Linked DNA regions of Arabidopsis thaliana. The protein of the gene in region 1 interacts with the protein of each later gene in a pairwise test. Each region holds a gene or a part of one and is shown on either strand. Other genes may lie near its edges.

Region 1 (5,204 bases):
TCGGATTCTCTAATCTGAGAACTGTAGCTTTTTAGCTGATATTTTAATTTGGATACAGGGCCATGATGATCTATGTGAAGACTTCTTTGCTTACAACAGAGCCAAGGGAACTCTTTACGATGGCGAAACTCGTCTCTTTTTGCGACATGATGGTAAATTTGAAGACTTTTTAAACATCAGGTGGCATATTAGGAGAACTGTGATTGTTTTACCTAATTACATTTCTTAATTTCTGGCAGATTCACCAGTGTATATGTATAGTATGGGAGGGATGGCTGAGTACTGTGTTACACCAGCTCATGGTTTAGCTCCTCTACCAGAGTCTTTGCCCTACTCTGAATCTGCCATTCTGGGATGTGCTGTTTTTACAGCATATGGTGCTATGGCTCATGCTGCTGAGATCCGTCCTGGAGATTCTATTGCAGTTATTGGAATTGGTGGTGTGGGCTCCAGGTATGTTAAATGTGTGGCATTTTCTTTTCTTTACCGGATTTGGGTTTTATTGCTTCTTGTATGACCATAACCATCTTTGAGTTGTTGCTTCAGTTGTTTGCAGATCGCAAGGGCTTTTGGAGCCTCGGATATCATTGCTGTGGATGTTCAGGATGATAAATTACAGAAGGCCAAGACACTTGGTGCTACTCATATTGTCAATGCTGCTAAAGAAGATGCTGTTGAAAGGATAAGAGTATGGTTGATTCAAGACCTCTTATTTGTGAAGATGAACCATTGATTGATATAAATATGAAAAACTGTTTCTTCTTCGTAGGAAATAACCGGTGGGATGGGTGTTGATGTTGCTGTTGAAGCCTTGGGAAAGCCTCAAACTTTCATGCAGTGCACACTAAGTGTGAAAGATGGTGGAAAAGCTGTGATGATTGGACTCTCACAAGCTGGTTCCGTTGGAGAAATTGACATAAATCGACTTGTTCGTAGAAAGGTTTGGGGTTCTTACTCTCTCTCTCTCGGCCTTGTTAGAAGAAAGTCTCTGGTACTGAGATTGTCTTTTAAGATCATGATATTGAATCTCTTTTTGTTCTGTTTTTCCAATTTTTTGTGAAGATAAAAGTTATAGGATCTTATGGAGGAAGAGCAAGACAGGATCTTCCTAAAGTAGTGAAATTGGCAGAGTCAGGGATTTTCAATCTCACAAACGCAGTCTCAAGTAAATACAAGTTTGAAGATGCAGGAAAAGCATTTCAAGATCTCAACGAAGGCAAAATCGTGAGCCGAGGTGTTGTTGAGATACTATAACCAATATAGCCTTTTGATTCTGGTTTGTGAATGACTGCTTCACACCTGTTTCACTGAGGTCTATTTTTAGTTGCTACAATCTTCAGACAAGGTCATTGTTAATCTGATATTTGTGTTTGTTTAGACAGTGAAAAGGAAAAAAAAAAACTGTAGTAACTGGACAAAATTTATAATTTTACTGTTTTTCATTTCTTTCCAACATTTATTGTTTTTCTATACTGTTAATATTTTTAATTTCTTCCCTCTTTTCACAATTTTCTACTTTCTAAGAATATTAATAACTGACATATATATAAAAAAACACAATTTATTTCTCTTTTGATAAAATTATCTATAAATCATTAAATCTTTGATGAGAAATATCCAATCTACTAATGTATATCGATGATTTAAATGAAATTACTTATTTGAACACAAAAATAAATGAATTTACTAATAAATAAATAGCGTAGTTGGAGCAAGTGGCTAAAAAAATTACAAATCTAGTTTCCATTCTCAGCGTCGGCTGCTTGGAACGTCACCGTTTTCTGGAAAACGCAATCTTCTCCCTTCCGTGACGTCTCACCGGAATTTTCTCGCTTTTGTCTACTCTCCTCCATCTCCGAGGTTCTCCAAGCTCAGCTCCTCTTCCCATCATTCATCCGACCGCCTTATCCGGTCAGATCCTTTACGTATTTCTATTTTCCTGATCGTCGATTTTTGAGAAATGTAAAAACAGATCGTATAAGGCCTCGAAGTTTTTAATTTGAAAGTGGTATCGAAATTTTTTGGTCTTTGATTAGGTTAGGGCACCGTAGCTCTGGGTATTGAATTTGTAGGGTTTTCCTCTGGTTATTGGTCTTTGGAGCTTGGTAATTTCTGCTGAATTGATTGATCCCTTTTCCATCTTTTGAAGTAAAGTCTCGAGCTTTCGTGTCTCGATGTAGATGAATTCTATTTTGAATATGAGATTTGATAAGACGTCAATTGCTGATAATTTGGAGTCTTTGTGTCTGAATTTGTTCATATGAAGTTTTCTGAGGGATGTGAATTTTATTGTCTGCTAATTTTGAAACGTTCCTTTTGGAATTTGGTTTGTGAGGAGTCCTAGATCTTTTTCTGTGAAGTTTCTTGCTTGTAAGTTTTCTGGATCACTTGATTGAGTCTAGAATCTAGATAGATTACATGTACGGTTTGATTCCTTTGGCTGATTTTCCAAAGTTTTGTTCAAATTTCAGGAGAACTACAAAGAGGAAACCAAGATTGTTTTGTTTTGTTAGACTCTACCCCTTTTCCGATTCACATGGTAAGGACATTGAGGTAGAGAATAATACTAAAAAGCAATGGGAGATGGGAGTTCCAGTAGATCCAACAGCTCAAACAGCACTAGTGAGAAACCAGAGTGGCTGCAACAGTACAATCTCGTTGGTAAGATTGGTGAAGGCACTTATGGTCTTGTTTTCTTGGCTAGAACCAAGACTCCGCCTAAAAGACCTATTGCTATCAAGAAGTTTAAGCAGTCCAAAGATGGAGATGGAGTTTCCCCGACTGCTATCCGCGAGATCATGTTGCTTAGAGAGATTTCCCATGAGAACGTCGTGAAGCTTGTGAATGTCCACATCAATTTTGCAGACATGTCTCTGTATCTTGCCTTTGATTATGCCGAGTACGATCTCTATGAAATCATCAGGCACCACAGAGACAAAGTCGGCCATTCGTTAAACACATACACAGTTAAGTCTTTGCTCTGGCAGCTTCTCAACGGATTGAACTATCTTCACAGTAATTGGATTATACACAGAGATTTGAAACCGTCGAATATCTTGGTTATGGGTGATGCAGAAGAGCACGGAATAGTGAAAATAGCTGATTTCGGGCTCGCAAGGATATATCAAGCTCCGTTGAAACCACTATCGGATAACGGAGTTGTGGTCACAATCTGGTACCGAGCACCAGAGCTGCTTCTTGGTTCGAAGCACTACACGAGCGCTGTTGATATGTGGGCAGTTGGGTGTATATTCGCGGAGTTACTAACTCTTAAACCGTTGTTTCAAGGAGCAGAAGCGAAATCGTCTCAAAACCCTTTCCAGTTAGATCAACTTGACAAGATATTCAAGATCTTAGGCCACCCGACGATGGATAAATGGCCAACACTAGTTAACCTTCCACACTGGCAAAATGATGTTCAACACATTCAAGCTCACAAATACGACAGTGTGGGTCTCCACAACGTGGTTCACCTGAATCAGAAAAGTCCTGCGTATGATCTGTTATCCAAAATGCTGGAATATGATCCTCTAAAGCGGATCACGGCTTCACAAGCACTAGAACACGAGTATTTCCGAATGGATCCTCTCCCAGGACGGAACGCATTTGTAGCCAGCCAACCGATGGAGAAGAATGTGAATTACCCAACTCGTCCAGTAGATACAAACACCGATTTCGAAGGCACGACAAGCATCAATCCGCCTCAAGCAGTAGCAGCAGGAAACGTAGCAGGGAACATGGCAGGAGCTCATGGAATGGGCAGTAGATCGATGCCAAGACCAATGGTTGCACATAACATGCAGAGGATGCAGCAATCTCAAGGCATGATGGCTTATAATTTCCCGGCACAGGCAGGGCTTAACCCGAGTGTTCCGCTGCAGCAGCAGCGCGGGATGGCTCAACCGCACCAGCAGCAACAGCTAAGAAGGAAAGATCCCGGAATGGGTATGTCAGGTTACGCACCTCCTAACAAATCCAGACGCCTCTAAAGGTAAAATCGAGATCATCAGTCTCGGGTTAGAATCTGTGTGTTTGCCGCAGAAGAAAGCGTTGCGATTTGCTTTATAGAGTAGAGTTAGATTGTAATGCAGCATGTGGAATGTTGCTATTCATATGGATGGATTGGATTCTCTGTAGTTTTTGTATAAACATCCTCTCAAGTATTTGTTAATTATATTAGATCATCATTTCTCTTAACATCATTTCTCAAAACGTAGTAAATAGGAGATTTGCCAAGTGAAAAATATATATAATGAGACAGTTATTATGAACACAATTTACAGTTATTATGAACACAATTTTGGTGATGTTTCTACTGTTTATGAAATTTGTTTTTTTTTTACCTGCCAGTCTTATCTATTTACCACCAACATACATTAGAATCTAATGTAATTACATCATCAATCATAGACCTAATGAATATTTAATACCACACAGTTTAAACATTGCTATTAAAGTTTGAAAAGATTATACTTTAGTAAAATAATGTTTTCAAACTTGTATTCAATTATACTACGTAAGCAGTGATCCAATTATTACGAACATAATACTTTTCCAAATCAAAATTTTGTTTTTGTTCACCTTACCATCAGTTTCATAATAGAAATATTATATATATACAACACAAACAAATGAATGAGAAATGTTTTTCTATTATTATGACTTTTATTTAAGATTCAAAAGAACGAAGAAGAGTTATATATATGCTTGTTTGTTTCAGGACAAATACAATAAATAAGTGGATAAGAAAACCACAAACCTTGAACTAGCCTGAAATGTGTGAACCAAGCTATACAAACTGTACGTGATTCTGCATCGTGGAAGTCACAAACAGACTTCTGACTTCTGCTAAAGATAAAACTCACTGTTTGCAAGCAATTTAGTATAAATATGAAGCATTGACCTACCAAGATCGACACAATCACACAGTTTCTTCTTAATTAAACCTAGCTATTTTTGTCTTTAGCAGAAGTCAGAAAGCTAGTTTTGTATTTTTCTTATTTCTTAAATATATGGCGGCCAATGTTATGAGACGGTTTATGATTTAAAGATACACAATGGACCCACGACGTTGCCATAATACAATTATTAGGCTGTTAATTAACGTGATCGTTACGTTTGCTACAAACTAGCTAGTTGTGTCTTCTTTATTTTAGTAGATAAGTATAAGAGTCTAAAAATATTACAACCCAATAATGGTTACA
Region 2 (4,076 bases), 5.7 Mb from region 1:
CATGTGGACAGTCTCAACGACTATACATTGTTCCAGCATCGATCATCTTTGAAATAGATGCAGGAAAGACCAAGAAGCGAGCCAAATTCTCTTATATTGGGAGAGATAGAGGCTGCTTCACAAAAGTCATCAGCTGATCAACAGGTTTTTCCGAAGAATAGCTTATGAAGAATACAGATCCTCAAGTATTAATGATTACGTTTCCAGTCTTGGAGCTCTCGCTTTCAGTGAATCGTTATGTTGTGTAGCTCAGAACTATATTATAGAAACAATGCTTATATTGTTGTTTGTTTTTGATGTGGATGCATGGAACTTGCTTGAGAACTCTTTTACAAAATGGAGAAACGAAACTTGTAAAATTTGGATATTTTCTGTTTATTGTAAAATTTGGATATATTTTAAGAATTGCGTTTTGCTTTCTCGTTTGTGATTTAACCCAGTTCGTTTTGTAAGCTCTATTTACACCATCAAATCTTGTCAGTTTTTTTTGACGTTTTGTTAGTTTTGCACCTCTTTTACTGTGTATACGCAGAGGCAAGACATGGTTGAACCAAGACGAGCAAAACTGATGTACAATAAACAGAATAATCTCATTTCCAAAACTTCTGGCAAAACATTATATTTTCTCAAGGGAACAAAACACACAGACAAGTCGAAACTTTATGGGTTTGTAGCAAGTTTGTTGAAGGCGGCGTGAACTCTCTCTTCCGTGAACAGTCTATGGTTTTCATAGAAATCTAATATCTCCATTGCAATATTCTTCACCTGCCAATATGTTCACAACATTCCGATGAACAACTAAACAAGACCATGCCTTCTAGTAACAACAGAGATAACAGTGCATGGACTTACAATGTTCATGTCGACAGAAAGCTCTTCAAACCATGTCTTTATGTCTTTCTCTTTGTGTACAGAAGCAATGTAAATGCAAGCGAGTGTTATGAGAAACGGCGGATGTATAAGGATGAGGTCCATTCTATATGTGTCGTTGACAAGACCCCTAAAGTTTCCACAACAAAACTTAAAGCATCAAGAGAGCATTTACTTTTTTGCTTGCAAATCAAAACCTGTTTAGGCTCTCTTCCAAGAAGCTTAATGAAGGACAAAAGTTTTGGACACTTACCAAGTTAGATGGGTCATACTAGTGTCATTGATTCCAGAATCCTGCAAGAACCTGCAAGTAATGCAAGAAGGAATAATCAAAACGAAATGCAGAGTATAATGGCAAAAAGATTTCGATGACGACACATATGATCCTAAGCAAACGACTTACTCAGGCAGAGATCGATATGGGTGGAATACAACAAGATAGAAGTTCAATGCTTCCAAGACCTTCATCTCCATTTCCAGAATATCTTTAATCTCATATCGAAACTTTTCATCCGCATCTACAGAGAGTGAAAGCATCCAATCTCATCAGAAACTCAGACAAAAAAAACTCAAGAAAATTTTGGAAGCAGAAAACAAAAAAGAATTTACAAAGTTTTTTCATGTAGAAGACAAGAAGTTTGGCATGCACCACACTCTCTTCTGCTTTGCAAGCCAAATACAAGCATGTAGGAGCAACAAGCCGAGGCTCATATTCCGTCAAACTCTTTCTGTCAAAACACACACAACAGTACCCATAAATCAAATGACCAAGCCTCGTGCTACACAACGATTACCAAAGAAGCCATACCTTGTGTAAACACGACGCATATAGGTTACTGCAGTTGCAACAACTCTGAATCATAAAAGTGCTAAAAATCAGTCAGCATTGTTCAAAGGGTCATAGCACATTCCATATCTCTTTAAGACTAACAACGAAAGACTTCACCTTTGCCTAATCTTAATGTGTTGTGCCAGTTTCGATATATCTGAAATCAAATAACAACAAGGAAAACACGAAAAACATGATTCATGACATTAGAGATGTTAAATCCAATCTGGAAATTAATTAACAAGGTAATCAAATCCAATGAAAACATACAATTAGACATATGAAGCTTAATGAGTCTGAAATCTTCAACAGAGATTCCTCTCTGAGCATCAAGAGGATGAACAACATTAACCTCTTCTGGGTCCTTAAGCTCTTTGCTGTGAAAATAAAACCCACAAAACGAATCAATCAGGAACATGGAAATTGAATTAAAAAAAGACGATCTTTAATCATTGATTGAAACTTACTAGTGCGTCGAAGTCCAGAAATTGGAAGCCATAGCTTCTTTGATCCTTCAACTTCAAAAATACAAGCTTTTTATTTTTATGGTGTGGATAATGAGAGCATAAAGACCACCAAGGAAAAATACAAAACAAAAAAAGTAATAATTCAGTATTTATCTTTTTTGATAGAAAAAAAATTATTTACCAAAAAAAGTTTTTAAAATTCTTATATGAAATCTTTTTTTTTTTTTCATATTTCTCATCTTCATCAATTTGACCTTTGTTTTATTTCACATTTTTGCTTCTACGAGAGGTTTAGGTTTTGGAGAAAATAAAAGGGAAAACAAACCCATTATGATGAACAATTAACAATAATGTTTACTTTAAGATTAATAGGTTTGGTAATAACAGTGTTACATGTTTGCCACAAAGCTAGATGGATGGGCAATTGTGGAAGTCTCTAATCATTTTTTTCTGTGCGATAAGTCTTGGAGATGGAGGTGATTCTCTACAGCTTCAAAGCCAATTTGCTGAAGGCAGAATTCACTTTTTCCTCTGTGATTGTTCTGTAGTTCTCATAGAAGTCCAGTATCTCCATGGCAATATTCTTTACCTGCAACCCATTGCCCCATGTAGAGCTTTCAAAGTCACTAAAGAATACCGAAAATCACGCAAAAGATCATAGCTATTCGCTTTAACTAATGATTGAATAACTTTTAGAAGAATGACTGACCAAGTTCATGTCCTCATGAAGATCTTCAAACCATGCAGTGATATCTTTCTCTCTGTGGACACTTGCTATGTATATGCATGCTAGCGCTATGCGGTAGGGAGGGTGTACAAGAATGAGGTCCATCTTATAAGTATCATTAACAATTCCCCTGAAACACGGAAAATAGGTTTTCAAAATGCTTTTTATACAGGTCAGAGATCTCTTAGATTTTAAGGTTGGAGCTAGGAATTGAGTTCTATGCAATATATCTCATATAGAAGGACTTACCATGTAATCTGGTTCATATTTACATCGTTTAATGCAGCATCTTGCAAAAACCTAGAAATCAAAAGAATGAAGTATTAGAATGAGTGTTGATTTTCTGACCATCAAGGCACACAAAACTCTCACCAAGGAAATATTAAGGTGGTCCAAAATTTTGATATAATGAGAAACATCAAGAACATTGTATGGGAAGACTGCAAGTTTTTACATGTATCATCATTTACACTTCTCCGTTTGTAACCACAGACAATAAGGCAAACATGTTCAAAGCTTCCGAAAAGCGGATAAGAGAGATGAGTGGACATACTCCGATAATGACCGGTAAGGGTGAAACACAACCAGATAATAATCTAGTGCTTCTAACACCTTCATCTCCATTCCTAATATATCCTTTAGTTCATATTTGTTGTACTCATCAGGATCTGCAAAGATATAAGAACCGTTGTCGTCGATATGTCAAAAAAAAGCATATTGAAGGGGAGGTACTCTCATGATTTGAAAAATAAAAAAACAGAAGAAGAAGATATTACACAATCTTTTGATGTAAAAAACAAGATTCCTGGCCTGCACTATGCTTTCTTCAGCTTTAGATGCCAGGTACAAGCACGTAAGAGCAACAAGTCGAGGCTCAAACTCTACCATACTCTTTCTGAGATAGTATAGTAACAAAAGGAAGATATTAGACACCAAAACTGAAAACTTTCGTAACACAGTTAACGTTTTTGATAGCAGAGATGCAACATAGAGAGACACTGGCATGACAAGAATTTAACTCATTTCATTCCTCACATACACAAAGATGCACATTGATGTATACGATCATATCAAAAATACATTGCATACCTGATATAAACCCGTCTCATATACGTAATTGCAGTAGCTACAACCCTACATAAGTAGAAAAACCAAGGCGACGATTCATATACAAGTCCAGGTT

What was found. The genes of interacting proteins can lie anywhere in the genome.
Region 2: the proteins of CDKE;1 (region 1) and AT5G48630 interact in a two-hybrid assay, tested with the Arabidopsis thaliana proteins (one study listed by BioGRID).

The regions. Positions count from the first base shown.
Region 1 is NC_003076.8:25,462,430-25,467,633, reverse strand, and holds CDKE;1 (cyclin-dependent kinase E;1), read left to right. Parts: upstream 1-1,711; 5' UTR 1,712-1,911; intron 1,912-2,471; 5' UTR 2,472-2,576; coding exon 2,577-3,989; 3' UTR 3,990-4,272; downstream 4,273-5,204. Other genes in the region: AT5G63620 (GroES-like zinc-binding alcohol dehydrogenase family protein), read left to right, coding at 59-152, 240-453, 547-688, 770-947, 1,070-1,254. UniProt on the Arabidopsis thaliana protein: Involved in cell differentiation. Required for the specification of stamen and carpel identities and for the proper termination of stem cells in the floral meristem.
Region 2 is NC_003076.8:19,721,003-19,725,078, forward strand, and holds AT5G48630 (Cyclin family protein), read right to left. Parts: upstream 2,167-4,076; 5' UTR 2,118-2,166; coding exon 1,970-2,117; intron 1,857-1,969; coding exon 1,817-1,856; intron 1,724-1,816; coding exon 1,679-1,723; intron 1,599-1,678; coding exon 1,480-1,598; intron 1,389-1,479; coding exon 1,274-1,388; intron 1,175-1,273; coding exon 1,124-1,174; intron 1,001-1,123; coding exon 853-1,000; intron 766-852; coding exon 661-765; 3' UTR 501-660; downstream 1-500. Other genes in the region: AT5G48640 (Cyclin family protein), read right to left, coding at 2,651-2,755, 2,876-3,023, 3,143-3,193, 3,447-3,561, 3,670-3,788, 3,983-4,027.